2 linked regions of the Cricetulus griseus genome follow. The protein of the gene in region 1 binds, or shares a complex with, the protein of each later gene. Links are inferred from orthologs where the notes say so. Each region holds a gene or a part of one and is shown on either strand. Other genes may lie near its edges.

Region 1 (11,049 bases):
ATGCAGATATACATGGAAGCAGAATGTTGTATACATAATAAATAAAATCTTAAAAAAAAAATAAATCAGTTTCTTGACCTTTTAGTTGAGTATAAAAAACAAATTATTGGAGATACAGTTTAATAGTGATGGCTATTCTTGGTTGTCAACTTGACTACATCTGGAATTAACTAAAACCCAAGCAGCTGGGTACACCTGTGAAGGATTTTTCTTAATTAAATGTGAAGGGGGTAGAACCACTTTTAACTCTTTAGTCTGGGCCACACCTTCTGGTGACAGCCTATAACAGACATGGAAGAACGAAGTTTTTGCTCTTTGCCTGCTTGATCTTGCTCACTCTCCATGGCAAGTCCATTCCTTCACTGGCATTAGAGCTTACTTCTTTGGGATTCTACTGTAAATGAAGACCAGATGAAGAGTTCCAGCCTTGTGAACTGAAGAACTAGTGGATTCTTGGCCTTTCTGTTGGCAGACAACCGTTGCTGGACTAGCTGGACCACAGCTATAAGCCATTCTAACAAATCCCCTTTAGACAGAGTCATTTTTTGTTTTTTGAAGACAGCGTTTCTCTGTAGCTTCCAGTTTCTCTGGAACTCGCTCTGTAGAGCAGGCTGGCCTCGAACTCAAGAGATCCACCTACCTCTGCCTCTGGAGTTCTGGGATTGAAGGCGTATGCCACCACCGCCTGGCCAGATTTATTTTATAAATTCTGTTCCTGTAGAGAACTTTGACTAATAGAGCTTTTGGTACCAGAAATGGTTCTAGACCAATAAAAGTATAAGGATGAATTTTTTGTTGTTGTTTTCAAGACAGGCTTTCTCTCTGTAACAGCCCTGGCTGTCCTGGAACTCGCTGTGTAGATCAGGCTGGCCATTCATTCAGAGATCCACTTGTCTCTGCCTCCTGAGTACTGGGATTAAAGGCATGTACCACCATCACTCGGAAAGGAAGTATCTGAATAGGTTTTCAGTTTGCCAACACCTACAGCTACTAAAGCCTTTCAAGGACTGAAATCTCTCCTAGAAGCTCAGAATGTATTGAAAGTCTGTGGTAAGGAGACAAATGCATTTGATCATTCTGATTCACCGACAGTGAGAGACAATGCATTTGGAGACTATAAACAAGGAAAACGATGGTGCTGGTGGTTGGTTGCTCCTAACATCTCCAGAAGAGTGGACAAAGGAATGTGCTCTGTTCTGTAATAAAATTCAACAACTTCTAACATCTCAGAATTTGGTTAAGGACAACAATGAACTAAGTGGTAAAACTGACCAGCTCCAGATGCACATAACTGTCTGAAGCAGTGGTTTTCAACCTTCCTAATGCCTCAACCCTTTAATACAGTTCCTCATGTTGTGGTCACCCCCAAACACAAAATTATTTTTGTTGCTACTTCATAACTGTGATTTAGTTACTGTTATGAATAGAATAGTAAATGTAAATATCTGTGATTTCTGATGGTCTTAGGTAACCCTTGTAAAAGTTCACCCCACCCCCACCCTGAAAGGGGTCTCAACCGCAAGGTTTAAAGGTTTCTTAGTGTGACCTTGAAGAAAATCTTTTCCCTAGCAGTTACAGGACTCAAGCTATGGAAAACCACGGACATCACTAGAATGGCTGAATTACAAAGAAAATCCAAGAATTCAAGTCCCAGCCTTGCAGGGTGTCCGAAGCTGAAGTAAAGTAAAAGAATGGGATCTTATAACTTGGGAAGGGGATGTGTGGGAGGACCCTAGTGAAGCTGACAACTTTGAACCCCTCAGATTCTCATGGGCTTATCTCACCTGAGGAAGTAGTCTCTCCACCCTCAGTAGAAGATGCACACCCCGCCCCACCCCTTGAAATATTGCCTTTCCCCCTTTGATTGAGAAAATTAATCCTTCGTTGTCTGTTAAGCCAGCAGTGGAGAATGGCAGCTGACTCTGAAAACTCAATCAAGTGGTGACCCCAACTGCAGCTGTGGCACCAGATGTGGTGTCCTTACTTGAGCAGGTTAACACATCTCCTGAGGTACATGGTACGCAGCTCGGCTTTTTCAGTACCTGTCCATAAGGACTGTCAGAACTATTTGCTTTCAGTTGGCAAGGCAGCAGTATGCCTTTACAGTTTTACCTCAAGGATACATTAACTTTCCAGTCCTGTGTCATAACTCAGAAGGGATCTTGTTCATGTGTCTCTTCCACAAAATATCACAAGGTGCATTGTATTGATGCCATGATGCTGACTAAACAAAGTGAGCATGAATGAGGTAGCTACCACTTGGGACTTGATAACACATATACGCATCAGATGGAGAATAAATCCAGCCAAAATCCAGGGGCCTTCTAACAGTGAAATTCTTAGAAATCTAGTGGTGTGAGTGGTGGTGGCATGCAGAAATTAGTGCCACCTAAGGTGAAGTCATTCCATGTGGCCCCTCTCACCAAAGAAACAAGCTTAGTGGGGTCTATTTGGATTTTAGGCACAGCACATTCCCCACTTGGGTCTATCACTTTGGCCCATAAAGCCAGAGACTCTGAAAGCTGCTAGCTTTGCCTGGGGCCTGAACAGAAGGCTCCTCAAGGCTTTTCAACAAATCCAGGCTGCTGTGCGGGCTGCTCTACCACTTGGACCACATGATCCAGCAGACCCGATGGTTACTTGAGGTGTCAAGTGGCAGACAAGATGCTGTTTGGAGCCTCTGACAGGCCCTATAGGTGAATCACAGAGGAGAGCTTTGGGATTTGGGAGCAAGGCTCTATCATCTGCAGACGATTATTCCACCTTTGAGAGACAGCTCTTGGCCTGCTATTGGGCCTTAGTGGAAACTGAATGTTTAACAATGGGACACTAAGTTACCATGAACCCTGTGCTGCCCATCATAAGCTGGATGTTATCTGACCCACCAAGTCATAAAGTAGGACATACACAGTAGCAATTTATTGTCAAATAGAAGTTCATATGTATGTTTGGGCCTGAGCAAGTCCTGAAGGTCAAGCAAGATTACACGAAAGTTGCCCAAATGCCTATGGTTTCTACTCCTGTTACAATGCTGTCAGCTGCCTAACATTCACCTATAGCCTTATGGTGTGTTCCCTATGATTGGTTGACTGATAAGATAGGGCCCAGTTTACTGATGGATCTGCACCTTAAGCAGACACCACCCAGAAGTGGACAGCTACGGCATTACAACACTTTTCTGGGACAACCCTGAAAGACACCGGAGAAGGGAAATATTCAGTGGGCAGAACTTTGGGCAGTACACGTGGTCATACAGTTTGTTAGGAAGGAGAAATGACAAGACTTACTTCATTCATTCATCCAATGGATTGGCTGAATGGTCAGAAACAGGGTCTCTCTGTGCAGCCCTAGCTGTCCTGGAACTCACTCTGTAGACGAGGCAGTCCTCAAACTCAGAGATTTGCCTGCCTCTGCCTCCTGAATGCTAGGATTAAAAGCATGTACAACTAATGCCTGGCTGTCCTCAATTTCTTTATCATGTAATATAACATCAATTAAGGGGACATTTCCACCTATTCTAAAATTGATGATGCATTTGTGGTTGCATGAGGATAGTTTCATCTTGTTAGATGTAATTATAACCTGGCTATTGTTTCATTTGGAAATTAAACATGACTTAAGGAGGTATGTGTCAAGTTGATAATGGGTAGACTTGTGATGGCTATCCTTGATTGTCAACCTGACTATAGCTGGAATTAACTAAAACCCAAGCAGCTGGATACACTGTGAGGGATTTTTCTTAATTAAATCATCTGAAGTGGAAAGAACCACTTCTAACTCAGAACTTTTGTGTTGGGAAGATCCACCTTTAATCTTCCTTCTGGACATAGAAGAAGGAAGCTTTTGCCCTTTGCCAGCTTGCTCTCACTCTCACTTGCAAGTCCATTCCTTCAATGGCATTGAAGTCAACTTCTTCAGGTTTCCAGTGTACCCTGAAGAACAACTGGGACACCCAGTCTTGTGGACTGCACAACTACTGGATTGACTCTTGGACTGTCCACTGGTAGACAGGCACTGTTGGACTAGGTGGATCACAGCCTGAAAACCTGTAATCCATTCTATTAAGTCACCATTTTACATGAGTAAACAAAAACAAACAAAAAAAGGACCACAGGGATGGGTGGTTAGGATGCGCAGCAAGACAGCTCAGTGGGCAAAAGTGATTGCTACTCAAGCCTGACAACTTGAGTTCGGTTTCCAGAATCCATGGTAAAAGGAGAACTGAGACCCAAAAGTTATCCTTTGACAGCTATGCATGTGCCATTGACTCACATACATGTACATGAACATAAATCATCTGTGGCTTTGGAGCCTGTCCTAGAACTCACTCTATAGACCAGGATGGCCTTGAACTCACAGAGATCTGCCTGTCTCTGCCTCCCCAGTGCTGGGATTAAAAGCATGTGCTGCCACTGCCTGGCTCAAATAAAATTATTTTAAGACAAAAAAATATAGTTTTGGGGGGCTGGAGAGATGGCTCAGTGGTTAAGAGCACAGAGGTCCCGAGTTTAATTTCCGGCAACTACATGGTGGCTCACAACCACCTTGAATGAGATCTGGTGACCTCTGCTGGCGTGCAGGCAGAAGACTGTATACATAATAAAGAAAATCTTTAAAAAATATTTTGGTTTTTTGGGGAGTGGAGATTTAGCACATGCACACATCAGTTTCAATGTTTCTAACGGTAGAAATTATAAGATAGAAACACATCAGGGAGATAACGGGAGGTTAAATGCTGACCAAAAACAAACAAACAAACAAACAAACACACAAAGGAATTCTGGGTAGATGGCCGAGTTTTCCAATGGTCTTAGGTGACCTCTGTGAAATGGCCAGCCAACCCCCCACCATACCATGAAAAACGACCCACAGGTTGAGAACCACAGTTGTAGATGGCAATGGGGAGCCATGGTGGTATATGAACAGGTGAACACTGGAATGACTGGAATGGAGGTGGCAAAGTGGCTACAAATACATAATTCAGAATATATGCTGAATGCCATGTTTTCTCTCAATAAATCTGACCCTTTTTAAAATGGCAAATGAGGAGCCAGAGAGATGACTCAGCAGCTAAGAGTACTTTACTACTCTTGCAGAGGATCCCGGTTCAGTTCCCAGAACCTACATGGAGGCTCACAACCTTCCGGTAACTTCAGTTTTTAGGGGATCCGGTGCCCTCACCTGATCTCTGTGGGCTCCTACAGGCACATGGTGCACACATACACAGGCTGGAGAGATGGCTCAGCAGGTAAATGAGCTGAAACTCAGATGATAGGAGGAGACAGTCGGCTCCTACAAGTTGGCCCCTGAAGGTCAGGCATGGTGGTGCATACCTTTAATTCTAGTACGAGGAGGCAGAGGCAGTAGGATCCAAGCGTCTGAGGCCAGCCTGGTCAGCATAACGAATTCCAGTACAGACAGAGCTACAGAGGGAGACCCTGTCTCAAAAGACCAAAAAAAAAAAAAAAAAAAAAAAAAAAAAAAAAAAAAAAAAAAAAAAAGCAAAACACAAAAAGAAAAAACACCATGAACAGGTTGTCCTCCACTTTGGCTCTAACGAACATACACACAGAGATCTATAAAACTGAATTTTATTTATTTTTGGGGGCATGTTATCTCTGTGTAGCCCTTTGTAGACAGGATAGCTTGGAATTCATGTAGATCCACCTGCCTCTGCTTCCCAAGTACTGGGGATTAAAGGAATGCACCATTACTACCTGGCTATAAAAATAATTTTTTAAAATACCAAGGACACAGCCGGGCATTGGTGGTGCACGCCTTTAATCCCAGCACTCGGGAGGCAGAGACAGGCAGATCTCTGTGAGTTCGAGGCCAGCCTGGTCTCCAGAGCGAGTGCCAGGACAGGCTCCAAAGCTACACAGAGAAACCCTGTCTTGAAAAACCAAAAAATAGCAAGGACACTTTCAGTTTGTAGATTGGAAAGGCATTTGAGAAAAAAGTTGCTGAAAGGGGTAGGAATGTTATATGACCTCTTTCCTGTCCTGCAGGCAAACTAGGGGTAGGTTGTCACAAGGAAAGACCTAGAAACATGATGGCCACACTCACACCTCAGGGTAGAAATGAGTGAGTGGCTCTGGGGAAGTTATTGAGGAGATAGGGTCAGATAACCAGGGAATAAAAGCAAAACCACCACCCTGGAATGGAGCCGAGAGACTGTGCCACAGGCGGCCACTCACCTGGCCTTCCAGGGGCTGGGCACTCTGGTGGCGGTCCTTGTCCTCAAGTTCCAAAAGCAGGTAGACGGGCTTGCAGTCTCTGGACTCGCTTGGGAAGCCTCCTGTGTCTACTTTCCTCTTGATGGTGGAGTTCCAGTGATTCTTAACAGCATTGTCAGTCCTGTGGGGAAATCCAGGAGCCTCTGACACGAAGCTCTCCGTCTCTTGGAGGCTTCTCCAGCCTTCTGCAGCTTCTCCCACATGTGTAAGTGAAGGTTTGGCCGAATGCACCAAAAGCACTGGTCAATGCTACAATGAAGTCTGTCTGTAGCCCTCATGACTTAGCAATCTCCACACATTTCCGTGGAATAAGCTAGTGCAGAACTCAAGGCAGGATTAAGTGCAAGCTGGACTGACCCAGAAAGCTTCTCTGAAGAAGCAGCAGTGAGAACTGACAGCAAGCTGGTGGGCCTCACAACAGGGCAAGGCAGCGAGGCATGCAAGCTGTCAGAGTGGTGGTGGGGGTGGTGGGGGGAATCCTGTCAGAGCCCAGCAGCTGTGGGAATGGAAGGGGGAAGAGTGGTAGCTCAGGACCCACTCAGGACCAAGCAACCAAGGTGACTGCAGATGGAGGTGAGGCTACTGGCATGCGCAAGGCCAACACCACACAGGGAAGGGACTCTGAGTCCCCAACCAAGAAACAAGACAGGGCCTCAAAAACACACTGAGACTAAAGTTATGAAAAGACACTATCACCTGGCCTCCTCTTTATTCTTCCTCCCAGGATCACACTGCCGTGACAAAGGAGGGACTCAAAACAAAACACAAGAAAACAAGAGCAAAGTAAGGCTGAGAAAACAGGGAGGGAAGTGGCAGCAAATTATATTTTAGAAGTTTTCAGAAGATGGAAAGAGGTCAGGGGAGCAACAGCCAGGCCAGGAGATTGGGAGTCCAAACCAAACTGACCTTACAGGAAGATTCTATCTAGAGTCAATTCATCCCAAGGCTCCTCCCAGAACTCCAGGAGCCCCAGGACTGGAGTAACCAGACTGAGGAGCACAGACAGGCACAGATTAAGCAGAGCATCTGCCCAACCTCCAGCTCCTGACCCTGACCTCCTGGCAGGAACAGGGCTACAGAGGGAGTTTCCTCGATGTTTCCTCTTTTAAAATAATTCAGCTTTGCCGGGCCTTGGTGGCACTTGCCTTTAATCCCAGCATTCGAGAGGCAGAGGCAGGCGGATCTCTGTGAGTTCGAGACCACCCTAGTCTACTGGTCTACAAGAGCTAGTTCCAGGACAGCCTCCAAAGCCACAGAGAAACCCTGGTGGGGGAGAGGGGGCAAGAACAAGAACAAAAATACCCCCAGCTGTGTTGGGGGTACAGCTCAGTGTTAGGACATTTGACTGCAGATACAACCCAGCAACTGTGGCCACAACAGACAGAAACAGTGCACAGAGCAGAAAGAACCCACAAGTATAATATTCTTAAAAACAACAAATCATTCATGAATATGGAGACTGGCTAGGCATGGTGGGGCACACCTACATCCATAGTACTCATGAGGCCAAGGTCACAAGTTTGAAGTCAACCTGGGCTCAACACCAACATGGCATACACAGCAAGTCCCTATCTCTAAAATCAAACAAGAGCCTGATTTAGTACAAAGTGGTAAATGGTGACAGAAACTAGTGTTTCCTTTATATTCCCTTTAATAGTCAGGATACAACCTGCCTTTTCTGGTACTGTCTTTTTAGACCTAGTTTCCTCCTTCTGATGCAGGTCTCTGGGAGACCTGGAGACAAGGCTAGTTGAATATGGAAGATCACGGTACTCCAGGTCACTCCATCAAGCACGGGCCTCACATCCTGGAACAGCCCCCCACCTGCACCCTACCTACCAGAAGATAGCTCACCTCCCTGGCAGCATTTTGGCAATCTCAGCCCAGCGGTTGCCCAGCACTTTATGGGCCTCACAGATTATGCGATCTTCCTCCTCAGTCCAGCAGGATTTTTTCACCTCGGGGTTGAGGTGATTGTGCCAGCGCTCACGGCACTGCTTTCCCAGCCGGCCCTTCAGGTGCTTGGCAATCAGCGTCCACTGCTTCGTGCCATACTTCTTGACCAGCTCAATGACCTTGAAAAAAATATCAGTGAAGGAACAGCCCCTCAATCACCTCCACTAAAGCACTGCCACATCCAGTGGGTCTCACTTTGCAGGACTGTAAAAAGGTCAACCCCAATCACACTACAGGGTCACTTTTTTTGAAAATGTATTTATTTATCATGTGTACAGTTTTCTGCCTGCATGTGTGCCTGCAGGCCAGAAGAGGGCACCAGATCTTATTACAGATGGTTGTGAGCAACCATGTGGTTGCTGGGAATTGAACTCTGGAAAAGCAGCCAGTGCTCTTAACCTCTGAGCCATCTCTCCAGCCCCTACAGGGTCATTTAAAGTCCTCTGTGGAAATTGGGAGGGGAGAGCTCCAGGTCATGCATGCCACCTAGAGCTAGACTTCAGTCTTCAATCACCTCTTAGAAAGGCTCTTTTGCAGGGCTGGAGAGATGGCTCAGCGGTTAAGAGCACACGGACTGTTCTTCCAGAGGTCCTGAGTTCAATTCCCAGCAACCACATGGTGGCTCACAACCACCTTGAACGAGATGCCCTCTGCTAGCATGCAGACAGAAGACTGTATACATAATAAATAAATAGAATCTTGGCTGGGCGTTGGTGGCGTATGCCTTTAATCCCAGCACTCAGGAGGCAGAGGCAGGCGGACCTCTGTGAGTTGAAGACCAGCCTGGTCTACAAGAACGAGTGTCAGGACAGCCTCCAAAGCCACAGAGAAACCCTGTCTCAGAAAAACAAAAACAAACAAACAAACAAAAAAGGCTCTTTTGCTCAGAACACAAACCCTAACATCATAGCTACCCAAGCTAGGCCCTCCTCAATTCCTTGTTTTTCTGGATAGAGTTCTTCTGGGTAGCCCTGGCTGAATTGGCTCTGTAGATCTGCGTGCCTCTGTCTCCTAAGTGTTGGGATTAAAGGTGTGCACCACTACCGCCAGGCTCCTTCCTCAGTTCTTGATAAACAGTTTCATGTGCACACAGCCACAATCAGGGAAGAGTAGATGCTTACAGAAAACAAAAGGGAATTTTTGTGTGGAAATATTCTATTTCATTTCTCCGTAGTTAAAAAAAAATAAGAGACAAGGTCTCACTATGTTGACCAGGTTGGCTTTAAATGCCTGATCCTTCAGCTTCCACCTTCCCAGCGTTGGGATTACAGACATGTGCCACCACACCCAGCTTGCTGTGATTTAAAATTTTCCTTTATCACAACTCATTTGAAGGGGAGTACGCATCTACAATGACAATGCTTTTATCCCCTGCTTTTCTTGGGTGCTGTGCCTACCAAGGTGAAATGGTATCTTATGGGCTAACACCAGGGATATGCACCAGAGCTCTACAAAGGAGTGATCATAGTCTTGGGGAATATCAAATCCTTTCTATGCCTTGGTTTACCCACTTTTAACATGGAAAACAACCCACCTCACAGGACTATGGACGCTAAAGAAATAAAGTATTAAAATGCCAAATGTGGCAAACACCTGTAATCCTAGCGCATGGGAGATAGACAAGAAGTTCAAGATAGACAAGGAGTTCAAGGCCAGCCCTGGCTACATAGCAAGTTTAAGGCCAGCCCAGGCTGAGACCCTGTCTGAAAAAAGAAAAAAAAAAAAAAACACCAGAAGGGGTTAGAGGGGAGGTAAGCTCAATGGAGGAGAGCATGCACACATTACCTTTCCATTTTCTATGTGACAGGTAAGGTTACCAGTTAAAAGCTAGGTAATTCATGGGGTAAAGTGGCCACTATAAGTCCAGAACTTGGAAGTTGAGGTCTGAGAAGCAACTGTGAGCTCAAGGCCAGCTTAGGCTACACAACAAATATGAGACTAGTCAAGGGTTACAAGGCTGACCTGTCTCTACACGCGCGCGCGCGCGCGCGCGCGCGCACACACACACACACACACACACACACACACACACACACACACACACACACACACACACACACACTCCCCTGAAGACACGTAGGACAAAAGCAGAGTGGTATGGGGATGTTAGACATCTCAGTGCCTGACTCACTGGCAGTGGTGACAGCCCACTATGCATGCAGTCCTTTTGCCAGCACTTACCTTCTGATCTTCCTCTTTGGTCCATGGTCCCTTAACAAGGTCTGGATTCAAAACCCTCAGCCACCGGTACTGGCATTGTTGGTCTGTGCGGTTCTGGGATAGAACAGAAATAATTGTGGAACCATAAGCTTGAACTCTGGTTGAGTCCTGAACTCAGGGGCCAGGATGCAGGCATACATATATCAGGTAGCTGTGTCCTATGCCAGGCACCCACCACATACTAGAGGCTGACCTACCACAACACAGGTGCATTATTTTTGTTTCAAAGGATAAACTCAGGCCCTGTGGCAAGGAACCTCCTATCCTCTGAACCTTGTGTGTGTGACGTGTACTATCTCAAAGTCTACAAAAGCTTTGTGGAACTTATTAGTGATTCCTGCTTTCTTCTTGGAGAAATTTTTATTTATTTTTAATGATTTATTTTTAGTTCTTGTGCATTGGTGTTTTGCCTGTATGCGTGTCTGTGTGAAGGTGTTGGATGTCCTGGAACAGACAGACAGCTGTGAGTGCTGGGAATCAAACCAGGATCCTCTGGAAGAGTAGCCAGTGCTTTTAACCACTGAGCTACCTCTTCAGCCCCACGTTTTTTATTCTTTACAGAGTTCAGATTACAAGGAAAAAATGGAGAAAGGGGATGGGGGGACACAGAAAGAAGCATGAAGATTCGCCCTGAGAT
Region 2 (11,753 bases), on another chromosome or scaffold:
AGCAAGTAGTCTTAACCACAAAGCCATCTTTCCAGCTCCAGCCTCAGAAAATCTTAATGGTCATACCAAAGAACAACAACTATAGTCAGGCATCATGACAAAGGCCTATAATCCCAGTACTCAGAAGACTGAAATAGAAGGACTGTGAGTGAGTTCAAGGCCAGAAAGACTGCAGAATGAATTCAAGGACTGGAAGGGCAACTTACCTCATATTAAAAAAAAAAAAAAAAGAGGGCTGACAATATAGCTTAGTGACATAATCTAGCATAATGAAAATACTAGATTCAACCTCCAGTGCTGTAAAAATGAAACAACAACAACAACAACAAAAAAAACCCAACAGTATTTGATGTTAAAATTCAAGGTATGGGCTCGCAAGATGGCCCAGTGGGTAAAGGTACCTGTCTCTGAGCCTGAGTTCAATACCTAGGACCCACATGGTTGGACTGAGAACAGATACCAAAAAAAGGAAAAAAAAATGAGGAAAATACTAACCTCTAAATTCTTTTTGTTTTTTGAAATAAGAGTCTCTCTATGTAGCCCTAGTTGATCTAGAACTCTATATGGAGAAAAGGCTGGCCTTGAACTCAGAGATCTGCCTGCCTATGTTTCCAGGTGCTAGAATTAAAGATATATGCCACCATGCCCAGCTCATTCCTAATTTTTTTCTTTTATAAATTACTTAACTTTATTTTATGTGCATTTAGTATGGTGTCAGATCCCCTAGAACCAGAGTTACAGTTTTAAACTGTCATTTGGGTGCTCGAATTTAAACCTGGGTGCTCTTAACCACTGAGCCAGCTCTCTAACCCCCTACAATTTTTTTGACAAGATACAATTTATTATTTATATTATATAAGGCTAAACAATTTTGCAACTTTCAAATATTGCTGCTGAAGTCTATTCTGGAGAGTGAAAGTTAAAATAAGTGCTTTCCAACAGCCTGATGACATCCACAGTGGTCACCTGGCATCCATCGTCTTTCCAGAACAAATCTGACAACTCAGAGACACTACATGTACAGGTGTGCACAAACATCACAATCACCCTCCAAGGATTCATCCTCATGGTCACAATGGATTTGTAACCATTTAAGACTGATCCTGAGCCGGGCATTGGTGGCGCATGCCTTTAATCCCAGCACTCTGGAGACAGAGGCAGGCGGATCTCTGTGAGTTCGAGACCAGTCTGGTCCACAAGAGCTAGTTCCAGGACAGCCTCCAAAGCCACAGAGAAACCCTGTCTTGAAAAACCAAAAAAAAAAAAAAAAAGACTGATCCTGGAAACCACAGAACCCCCAGCAATCTATATGTTCATGGCAAAAGGGCCAGGGGCTCTTCCACCTCCAGATTCCAGCCTCCCTCTTCCCAGAATGCTAATGCCAACAGGCCCTCCTGAACAACCTTTACACGCCAGACTTGAGCAGCTAAAACCTGGCCCTATACACCAACACCATCTCTCTTTGCTATGAAGAGATCACTTGAAATCTAGGAGACTGCCATGTCCAAGTGTCTTTCTGTTTTCCATCCAGCCATAAAATCAGAATTGGATATCCTGGGGACAATGCATGCAGAAAACTGAAGCAAGTGGACTCCTCTCATAAAGCAGGTTTCAATCTGTAGATAAAGGCTATGGCAGCTACCACTGAACTACATTGTAGTTTTTTCCCATATTAACTTACCTCTTCAGTAGCAACTGTCTACAACTCTACAACATGTCAAACCACCACTAAAAAGACAGAAAGGATAGGTTGGAAACAAGGCTACAATAATGAAATTTGTCTGCAGGATACCAGGGATGGCTCATCGTCACTGTTAGGTTGACTAGATTTGGAATGCTGTAGGAGTACAACTCTGGGTGTCTGTTTTCAGCAAGGTTTCACTTGAGGCCGCACCCTGAATGTAAGCGGCACCATGCGGACTGGGGCCTCACACTGACTAAAAGGAATAAGGCAAGTAGCTGGCAACTGCGTACATCTTTCTGCATTCTGACCACGGACACAACATGGCCAGCTTAGCACCTCCAGCACACCTTCACCAGCATGACGGTTCCTTCAAACTATAGGCCAAATAAACCTTTGCTTAAGTTGCTTTTGTCACAATAATGAGAAAAGTAACTAATACGGAAAACTGGTATTGAGGAATAGGCCATTGCTGTTGTATAGGCCTGTTGTATAGAGAATGCCTGGAATGCTATAAGCAAAAATTACTAGTCCATTCTGGTGAGCATTTGAAAAGACCAGAATGTCAGTGGAAATGTGGACACTGAAGGCTAGGCTCATGAAGTTTCAGAGAGGAACCAGGATTCTATTGGGAACTGGGCTAGAGACCACTTGTGTTACCTTCTAGCAAACAATCTGGCCATGCCCTTAAAATCAGAGTGAAGCCAAACATAAAAGTAATGGATTAAGTTGTCTGGTAGAGGAAATTTCAAGACAGCATGGCATCCAGGCTGTGGCACAGTCAGCACGTAAGAAAAGCATCCTTAGGGCAAGACTCACTCCTAGAAAGGTCTAACTGGTAAAAAAACAAACAAACAAACAAACAAAAAAACGCCAACTCCAGATGGCAAGATGGCTCAGCAGGTAAAAGCAAGTCTGGCAACCAGAGTTCAGTCCCCCAGAACCCACATGAAGAGGCAAAGAGAAATAATTCTACAAAGTTATATGTATCTATACATACATACATACATGCACAAATATACACTCTCCCACAAATAATAGTGTTTTGTTTTTTTAAGAAAATGAAAACTTATTTCAAAGAAAAAGCTTGAACTGAGAATGCCATCAAATGAAAACAACCACTTAGAGAAGTATTTTCCCAAGACATAGAAGGTCACTGCAGCCATAGTAGAAGGGGCCATCTATCTCAAGCTGGTAGCAGAACTTGGCACTGTCCTCGGGATGGTTTATAGGCATGCAAAATATAAGTGAGGGCAGGGCTGAAGTCCTTGCAAATAGTCTGAGAGGCCACTGAATGACGCTGGAAAGGGAAAGCCTAAGTTGCAACGGAGACCTCAAGACACAAGATACATCGGGACCAGACCAAGGAACATCTGCCAAGGAAAGTTGCAAGCACAAAATGCAGCAGGCCCAAGAAAGAGCCTCAAGTGCTACCGGCAGTGTTACTAAAGGGGCAAAGCGACCCAAGCCTGTCACAGCCCAGAGGATTCCATCACAATCCCAAGATAGCATACATGGAGTTGCATGGTTTGGTATTTGTCCTACTGAATTTTGGTCCTGCACTGGTCCAGTCTTCACTATTGGAGGGTGCAGTAAATACGTGGAGATCAGAGGACAAATTATGGGAGTCAGTTCTCTTCTACCATGTAGGTCCCAGGGAGCAAACTCGAGTAGTCAGGTCTGACAAGCCGGCCATCTCAACAGCCTGGGATTTAGAGTTTTGAACAATGTTAGAAATGTCAAGATTGTAGAGGCTCATGCCAATGAAGTATAAAAGCTTCTTGCCTTAGGAGATGAACCTCTAAGGATAGAATGTTAAGATTTAAAATGATGTGTTTGGTGTGGGGTTGACAAGGGATAGACCTGTGATTGTTAATCCTCATTGTCAATATGACCAAATTCATAGTCATCTGGGAAATGCTCCTCTGGGCACATCTATGAGGTGGAAACTTTCTGAAGATTGGCAAGTCCAAAAATGCAGTCTTCCCAGTAAGACAGCACAACTCCTCAGGCAGTGAGTATTAGCCTGACCTTGGGAGAAGACATTCATGTTCTAAGACATACCCCCTCATACCAGGCTCTCCAGCCCCTACAGCAGGGTCATCATGGTTCATTCAATACACATGCCTTCCACAGGGACAATTTGCAGTGTTACAGGAAAGCACTGCAAGCAGGCATCTCCAAGTACCTGCAGGCACTCACCCCCACTTCCACCATCACTCCTCACTCTCCTGCCCACTCCCACGCCTTCCCACATCAGCTTTCTTGTCCTGCATGGGAGAAATCCTTTGCCAGGTCAACATAATCGGCTCCTGTCATCCCATCCTGTTCACTGGTAACTGCCAGCCCTGTGCCACAGCCTGCAGTTCACAGGGAACCCTCACCTGCCCATCTGCCTGGGCATCTGCTGGGGCAGAAAGCCCCTTAGCTATTTGTTGTCTTCTCTCTACCCTTCCTGGTCCTCTTCCATGACCCAGAGCTTGACTTTAGCCCCTCTGCTCTCACAGGTGTCCAGCTATACTTTACAGCTAGATTTCATCCCCAGTATCAAGTGCTTAGAAAACTCAGTGGTGCCTACTTCCTCTCCTTCAGCACAGACTACAATGTCCCTCTCTGAAACACAAGTATCGTATCCTATATAAAGACATGGTTGGCTACAGGAACGGCCCAACCCTTGACTGTCTGCAGTCTCTGATTCCCCTCTGACTGGGGAAGACGCTTGTGGCGTGTGAATATGTGTGGTGATGAGAGTCAGCTCCAGCACCCTGTTACTCAGTCACTGCACCAGCCCAGCCACACCACAATGGATAACCCCAAACCAGCTGGCCTCAGACTCTCATTGTGATGGGAGATCCTGACCACCTGTCCTCACAGTGCACCACCCCTTTCCCCAGGGACACAGCACATGGAAAGGGAGTGAATGATGCAAAACTAAAATGACAAAACTCTGAGCATGCTGGCTCACTGAAAATGCAATAATATCGTGCCAGTACCATGACCTAACAAAGGCATGGGGGCCAGTATCCCATTTACAAACCATTTACCAAATCTAGTTACTTTGTGGGCATGTGCTGAGCCCACACATACATGTTAGGGCATACATATGGAGAAGAGTGGGGACATGGGTGTAGATAAACAACTGGACCTAACAAGATCAAGCCAGTATCATATATGGTTGTGACTTCAGGTGACCTATACAAGATCTCCTAGGGTGTGACACAACTCCAAAGAGCAGGCCCAAGCCAAGTGCTTGATGACAGGGAGAGTGGCACCGTCTGACCCATGTGGATCATTAAGCATAGCTGAGTCCTCAAGTCAGTGGACAGGACACAGCACCCACCGGTACCTGGCCCCACACCATAGACGCAGCCACACTACACCTGAGCACAACTCTAGATGATGTAGCGCGTCTGCCTGCATTTCCCAGGCTGCACAGAAAATACAGGAATCTAACATTCACAGGGCAGTGAATGCTGAGGAACACTGAAAAGGAGATCATTAGTGCTGGAAGGAGTTAGGATGATATTGCAAAAATATATGTAACCAACAACAGAGACTATATCTTGCAGCCTAAAAGCCTAACTCTCCATATCTGTTTCAAAAAAAAAAATTATTCAAAATATCCAGTAGCTTCAAGATAAATATAAAGCTAAACCAACCAGCATTTCCACCGTGTTTCATTAATCACCAGATGTCATCTTTCTGAGAAAAATGTGCCCAAACAAGTTGTTGATATTCAATCCATCAAAGTTGAATTACGGTCCTGCGTACTACATAAAACAAGTACAGCCTAAGTTCCATGTTGACAGCTGTCCTGAGTGGAAACCCACTAACACACAACACCCCCCTCACACATTCATTTTAATTGAGAGGTGTATTCAATTTTTTTTTTAATTTAAACTGTCTAGATAGGTTAAGGGAAAAATCAAGACCACATCATCCAACCACAAATAACGTGTCAGTCTTCAGATGACAAAGAACACTTGTGCAGGGGGGAGGCACCCACCTACTGACTCTCCATCCCTCACCTCCATCCCAGCTCCTGCGTGTAAAATGTGAGGATAAACCACGGCCATGCACGCACGGCCATAGAGAAAACTGCAAGGAGCAGTGAGCTAACATGTCTGCAGCACGAAGCAATCATACTTACATCTTTTGCCATGTTACCAGATCCAGGAAATCAAGGCTGTAACTGCGTACCCGCCACAGAAAAAACCGGACTTATCTGGCAAAAAGGAAGGAGACAATTAATGAGAGAGAATGAAAAAAGAAGTTTAACAGACATCGCATTTCAAAGGAAACATCTCCCCACCAGCACGAGGCAGGCCTCCAGGCAGCAGGGGCCTTTCTTGCACAATCCCGACAGGAGAGCTAGCCAAGCAGGTCCCACACGGGGATTTTAAGTCACCTCTCCAAATGGAAGTGCTCCCTGCGGCCACCAGCAGCTCCCACTCGCAGAGGGTCCAGACCCCAACCCCTTGGCAGAGTAAGGCGCAGCCGTCAGGCTCACCCCACCTGGGCGCGCGGGCCCCGTCTGACCACAGGCCCCACCGAGGCACAAGGCCCCCAGCTTAGGCACGACACTGCGTGGCAAACCCCGGGCCGCAGCAGGCCCTCGAGCTGCCAAGACCCCAAGGAGCCGCCGACCACTCTGACAGGTGGGCTCCCGGCCCGCCGCCCGCCCCACCTGTCACTAGGCCCGGCCACCAAGCCCCGCGCGCTGGCGCGGAGAAAGCCGGAGGGTGGCCAGGACCCCTGCCCGCCGCCCACGCCACGCCGCGTCGAGGCCGACTCCGGGCTGAGGCTGGGTGGCGGGCGGGATGCAGCCGGACGCGGGAACCGGGCTGGGGCGGGAACGGGGCCGCGCGCCCAGCCCGCGCCCTCCCGCTCGGCCGGCCAGCGCCCCCGCCACACCTGGCTGGCCGGCGGGGCGCGCGGGGCGACGACGGGGGCGCGGGGGCGCCGGCCCGGAGGTCCGGCCCTGGCGGTCCCTGCCCTGAGCCAGCGGCGCCGGACGCGGGCTCACCCTGGGCCGAGCGTCGGGCCGGCGTGACGTGCGCGCGGCGCGGTGACGTGGGCGGCGGCGGGCCCGCTCCGCGCAGCGCGCCTGCGCGCCTTTTCGCGCCTTCGGCGCCCTCCTCCTCCTCCTCCTCCTCCTCCTCCCGCCGCTCATCTCCCGCGCCTCTCGCCGGTGCTACCCGCCCTGGGATAGGGGAGGGGCCTGTGCGCGCGTGCGCGTGCGGCGGGACTCGGCTGGAGACCGCCCGCACTGAAAAGTGCTGCGCGCGCCTGCATGTGCGCATGGAGGCCACGTGTGTGCGCGCCTCTGTGTGTACACCAAGGGCCAACTGAATGCATATCTGTGTGCATGCGCAGGGAATAGAGGGCCACGTGTTTGCCTGTGTGTGTGTCTGTGTGTGTGTGTGTGTGTGTGTGTGTGTGTGTGTGTGTGTGTGATACCTGCCAACGGAGAAAGATCTGTGGTGTGTGCCATACCTGCAGGTACACATAGAAGAGTAACGTGGGCACACCTGTGTATATGCAGATAGTATAGCTGTATACACGTGCATATGCAGAGTATGAGTCGGGCGTGCACGCCTGAACATGTATACAGAAAACCCCCTGTACATACAACTATGTATATTTGTGTTTAATGTCTGCACAGAATACAGGTATGTGTGTACGAATAGAGGGGCCAGCTATGTGCGCATGAGGAAAAAGAGGTCAGTTGTAGGAGTGCCTTAACGTACCTGTATGTGCACCCCCAGCAGAGGAGTTTTGTACATTTACACAGGCCATAGTGAAGACTGTTGGGATGCACACACGTATTGGACACTGCAGAGACATAGAGAGCCTGCCACTATTCAGCTATTGACGTCCACAGCCACATGGCCTGAACTTGGGTTGTCAGTGATTCAGGGCAGGAAGCATCCTGAAAGGGTGTTTGCTCCTGTCATTTCAGAGTCTGTAGGCTTCATCCCAGGAGGGGTCTGGTAGACCCTGAGGCCTGAAGACAGTCCACATTGGAGACCTCTACCTTAGGACTAAAGCTGGAGAGCCTGGGAAGAGAATAGGCTAGGCCTCCCAAATCAGTCCAAATGGTTTGGGTAAAGTGACCCAGCTTTGCCCAACAATATATGGCTCAAGAGTAGAGTGCTGTTAAATGCTATCAGAGAACTGTGGATGTGAGTGACGGGATGTTTAGTGTAAGCACCCTTTACATGGTTGTCTTTCCTTTAAATAAGCTAAGATGTTGAGGGACAGGCCAATTTGACTCCCAGATTGACACATCCTTCTCTGTTGCCTAGCTGCCTTGGCCATAGGACTCAGCCAAACAGCCCTTCCTTCTTTAGCATCTGACTGGACCATCCTGGCCGCTATCCTGTTCTGAGCACTCCTTAGATGCCATGAGGAAGCTATACTGCAACCACAGCTGCTTATGCTAAAGCAAAACCATGATTCCAGAAGGCAATATTCAAGGTATGGTTATTTCAATAACTTGCATCAGACTCCTTCCATCACAAGCCTTGGTAAACCCTAGTGACCATTTTCAACCAGGACACGGGTTGGGGGATGTGGGGGAATATTTCCTCTAGTGGCCCAGGGAAGGACTGTGACTGGTGCCAACATCCTTGCCACGCCTCATTCCTGACTATATAAACAAGCTATTTGGCTCACTTTTTCAGTGGGTTGGGTAAGTCCTTTGTCCAATAAAGACGTCTCTGGAGTGATCATGCACGTTTTTTTTTTTTTATTTTTATAAGCTAGACTGGTAATATGATGACATAAGCCATAAGCACCAATGGAGCACTAGTAGCCACCAGGGGGACTCTGAAGAGTTCCGGAGAGTGAGTGGGGCAAGAACAACAGCATACTCAGGAGACAGAGACAAGAGCCAGGACTGACAAAGGTGATGACGAGGCAGAGAGGAGAAACAGAGTACCAGACACTGGAAGAGGGGTAATGGTCTTACTCTAGGGTTGAAAACTGCAACAGGAGTCACTTAGGTGCTGAGGTTCCCAGCACCCATGCAAAGTTACAGCACTAGCAGACACTGGCCATTGCTGTCGATGGAAGCTAAGGATTCCAGGAGCTGCCAGTGTTGTGGCTGCTGGTGGTTAAATTCCAGAATATTTAACCTCCAACTTCAGTATTTGGAGCCGTAAACCTCTGGCTTCTGAAGCATGGAGTGATAGGCCCCTGGTTTTCAGGAGACAGTTGTAAGCCTCTGGATCTGCCAGTCCATCCCATAAACATTGGGCATGTAAGGGCCAGGATTACTAGAGCTGGAGAATCGTCTCCTTGCCCAATCATGTGATCTGGGTAAAGCAGAATGACCCCAGCCAGCTGATTAGTAATAGAGAGGTCAGAGCTGTACCAAGTGCTGGGCTAATTAACATCTATGAAGAGTCTTGAGGAGCACAGACCAAAGGCCTCCCCCAGTCATATGCAACATGTCATTACTGGACACCCCTATTTCGCATGGCTTTACAATTAACCACCTTTATGCTGACTACACCTGCTCCTACCACTTCAGCTAAGCCCCACCTTCTTAAGCTGTCAAGCATTTAATTAACATTGGTTCTGCGTGCCAGAATTGAAATCATGCATGGAGGCCTTCAAATGGCCAGGAGTCCTCCAATTCTGGCTCCCCTCCCCTCTTTTCCCCTCCCCCAGGTAACAGGAAAACAAAAGAAAACCACCATCCTGGTCTCTAAGATGGGAAGTGGCACCTGCCTCTTGTGTATATTTAACAAGGGCAAGTTTCTTAACTACATGGAGTGACTTCACATGACAACAGCCATTAACTCAATTCACTGGAGGATACAGACAGAACTCAAAGTGTTCTCGGGAAGCCATATTGACAGGATGCAGAAACCAGGCTGAACAGAGGAACCAGAGAATGCACAAAATGTGTGGTCTGGGGGGAAGGGTCAAGATGGATTGATTTCTGCTTTTAATCTGTGATAAACAGACCTGTTTCTTGGGTGATGAGTAAGCAAGACACACTACAATAAATGGACTTCAAAGAAGACACACTCTCCAATATGTACCTGAGTTACCATTGTCTTCACTGTGACAAAGACACCAGAGAGAACTAACTTAAGCAAGGAGAGGTGTACTTTGGCGCTTGGTTTCAGAAGTTTCAGTTTTCGGCCATTTGGTCCCAAACACATGTACAGAATATCATGATGGGAAGAAGAATGTAGCCGAGGAGAGCTGTTCTTCACCACTGGGAGGCAAAGAGCAAAATGGGATTTTTGTGTAGCATTTCCACCAGTGGGGAAGATCCCTAATGTTCTGAAGGAAGGGTCCTTATGACTCAGGAAGTAGGGGCTGGAGAGATGGCCCCAAAGTTAAAAAGCACTTGCTGTGCTTGTAGAGGACATGGCAGCTTATAACCATCTGTAATTCTAGGTCCAGGAGATCTGGCACCCTCTATTGGCCTCTAGGCACCAGACATACATATGGTGCACATACATACATGCAGGCAAAACACCCATGCATATACAAAAAAAAAATGAATCTTAAAAAAAAGTCAGGAAGTAAACAATTGAAGAGCTTCAGGAAGTCCCTGAAACCAAACACACTAGGTTTTTCCCTCCCCAAGCTTATGTAAGCAGAAAGGAGTGATGAGAGACAACCCCAACAATCTGGAAGAGACTAACCAACCGAGCTACAGAAAAATACACATTTCAACTGTTGAGATGCCTGCAAATTGTGCGATAAGCTCTGGGTTTCCAGTTTTCAAGAGTTGTCTCTGAGGTGGTCTTTGATGATGTAGCTGTCTTTGGGTCATGCGGGGATGTCTGCAGTCTTCACGGGTAACAGAGAGATGAGCCACAGGAGGCTAGGAGACAGTTCAGCTTGACACAACTCAGTGGCCGAGTCTGAATCTGAGTTGTTTAGTTCGGGCATATTTAAACACAGCACAATTCAGTGAAAATTTTTCTTGTGATGATTAACTCAATTCCATGTGCAAAACAAAGCATGTCTAAATCTCTTTGAGAAACAAAACAAGCTAAATACAGAGAAGTGACTACAATGAACTCTTTGCAAGGCACATGTGACACCTTACCTAAAAAAGATAGTATCTATATATTGACTATATGTGATACATTCCGTAAAGATGAGTTCCATGGATTGACTAAGAAAAACCAGTTTACAAGAAGGGTCTGGAGGAGGGCGTGGTGCCAGAAAGTCTTCCGCCATTCTGATTGCGCAAAGGTCACCAGGCTAGAAATCATGTCCACTCTAGCCTTCTGGGTATAAAACAGGTTTTGCATTCCTTCCCCAAAAGGAACAACCCTTTTTGTTTAACATTCCAGGTCCCCCTGTGCATGTCTGTGAGCACAAAAGCCTCCATGCCCCCTACGAGGTCATTTATGCTCCTGTAATAATGACCATTTGAAATTTATCCTGGATATACAAAGGTAGCCCTGTCATTGACAAAGGAAGGAATAAACAAAATACTACATATGCACACATAAACTATATTCAGCCATATAAAGTAACAGGATTCTGACATATGCTACCATATGGGTGGAACTTGAAGACATTATACTGTAAAATAAGCCAGATACAAAAGAATAAATTTGTGAGTTACTAGCATAGGTAAAGTCAGAATAAGTACTGGCTCTGTTGGTAGCAAGAAATGTATAGTCCCTCCCTGTAATTGCAGAGTTTCTGTTTGCAATGATATCAGTGTTTTAGGAACAGATGATAGTAATGTGTACGAAACATTGTAAATTAACACTAGTAAATTGTACACTTAACATGATAAACTTCCACTGGGTGTGATAGTGCATACCTTTGGTCTCAGCACCTGACAGGCAGAGGCAGACAGGTCTCTGTGAGTTTGTGAGTTCCAGGACAGCCAGGGCTATGTAGAGACACCTTGTCTCAAAAAAAAAAAAAAAAGATAAGCTTTATATGTGGATTTGTATCAAAGTTTTTAAAAAAGGAAAACCCAGTATACACATAAGTGAATTTAATTATTATAACAATTATTTAATTAAATACATTTCAATGCACCCCTTTTAAAGCTATAAAGAATGAATTGTTAGGTATA

Evidence for each region.
Region 2: Mybl2 (region 1) and Tfdp1 share a complex: the UniProt entries of both Homo sapiens proteins name them as parts of the DREAM complex. The link is inferred for Cricetulus griseus from reciprocal best matches to the Homo sapiens genes MYBL2 and TFDP1.

What each region holds. Positions count from the first base shown.
Region 1 is NC_048599.1:16,452,411-16,463,459, forward strand, and holds part of Mybl2 (myb-related protein B), read right to left. Parts: intron 10,467-11,049; coding exon 10,374-10,466; intron 8,312-10,373; coding exon 8,091-8,311; intron 6,358-8,090; coding exon 6,198-6,357; intron 1-6,197. UniProt on the Homo sapiens protein: Transcription factor involved in the regulation of cell survival, proliferation, and differentiation. Transactivates the expression of the CLU gene.
Region 2 is NW_023276807.1:67,446,094-67,457,846, forward strand, and holds the start of Tfdp1 (transcription factor Dp-1), read right to left. Parts: upstream 6,724-11,753; 5' UTR 6,596-6,723; intron 5,907-6,595; 5' UTR 5,844-5,906; coding exon 5,832-5,843; intron 1-5,831. UniProt on the Homo sapiens protein: Can stimulate E2F-dependent transcription.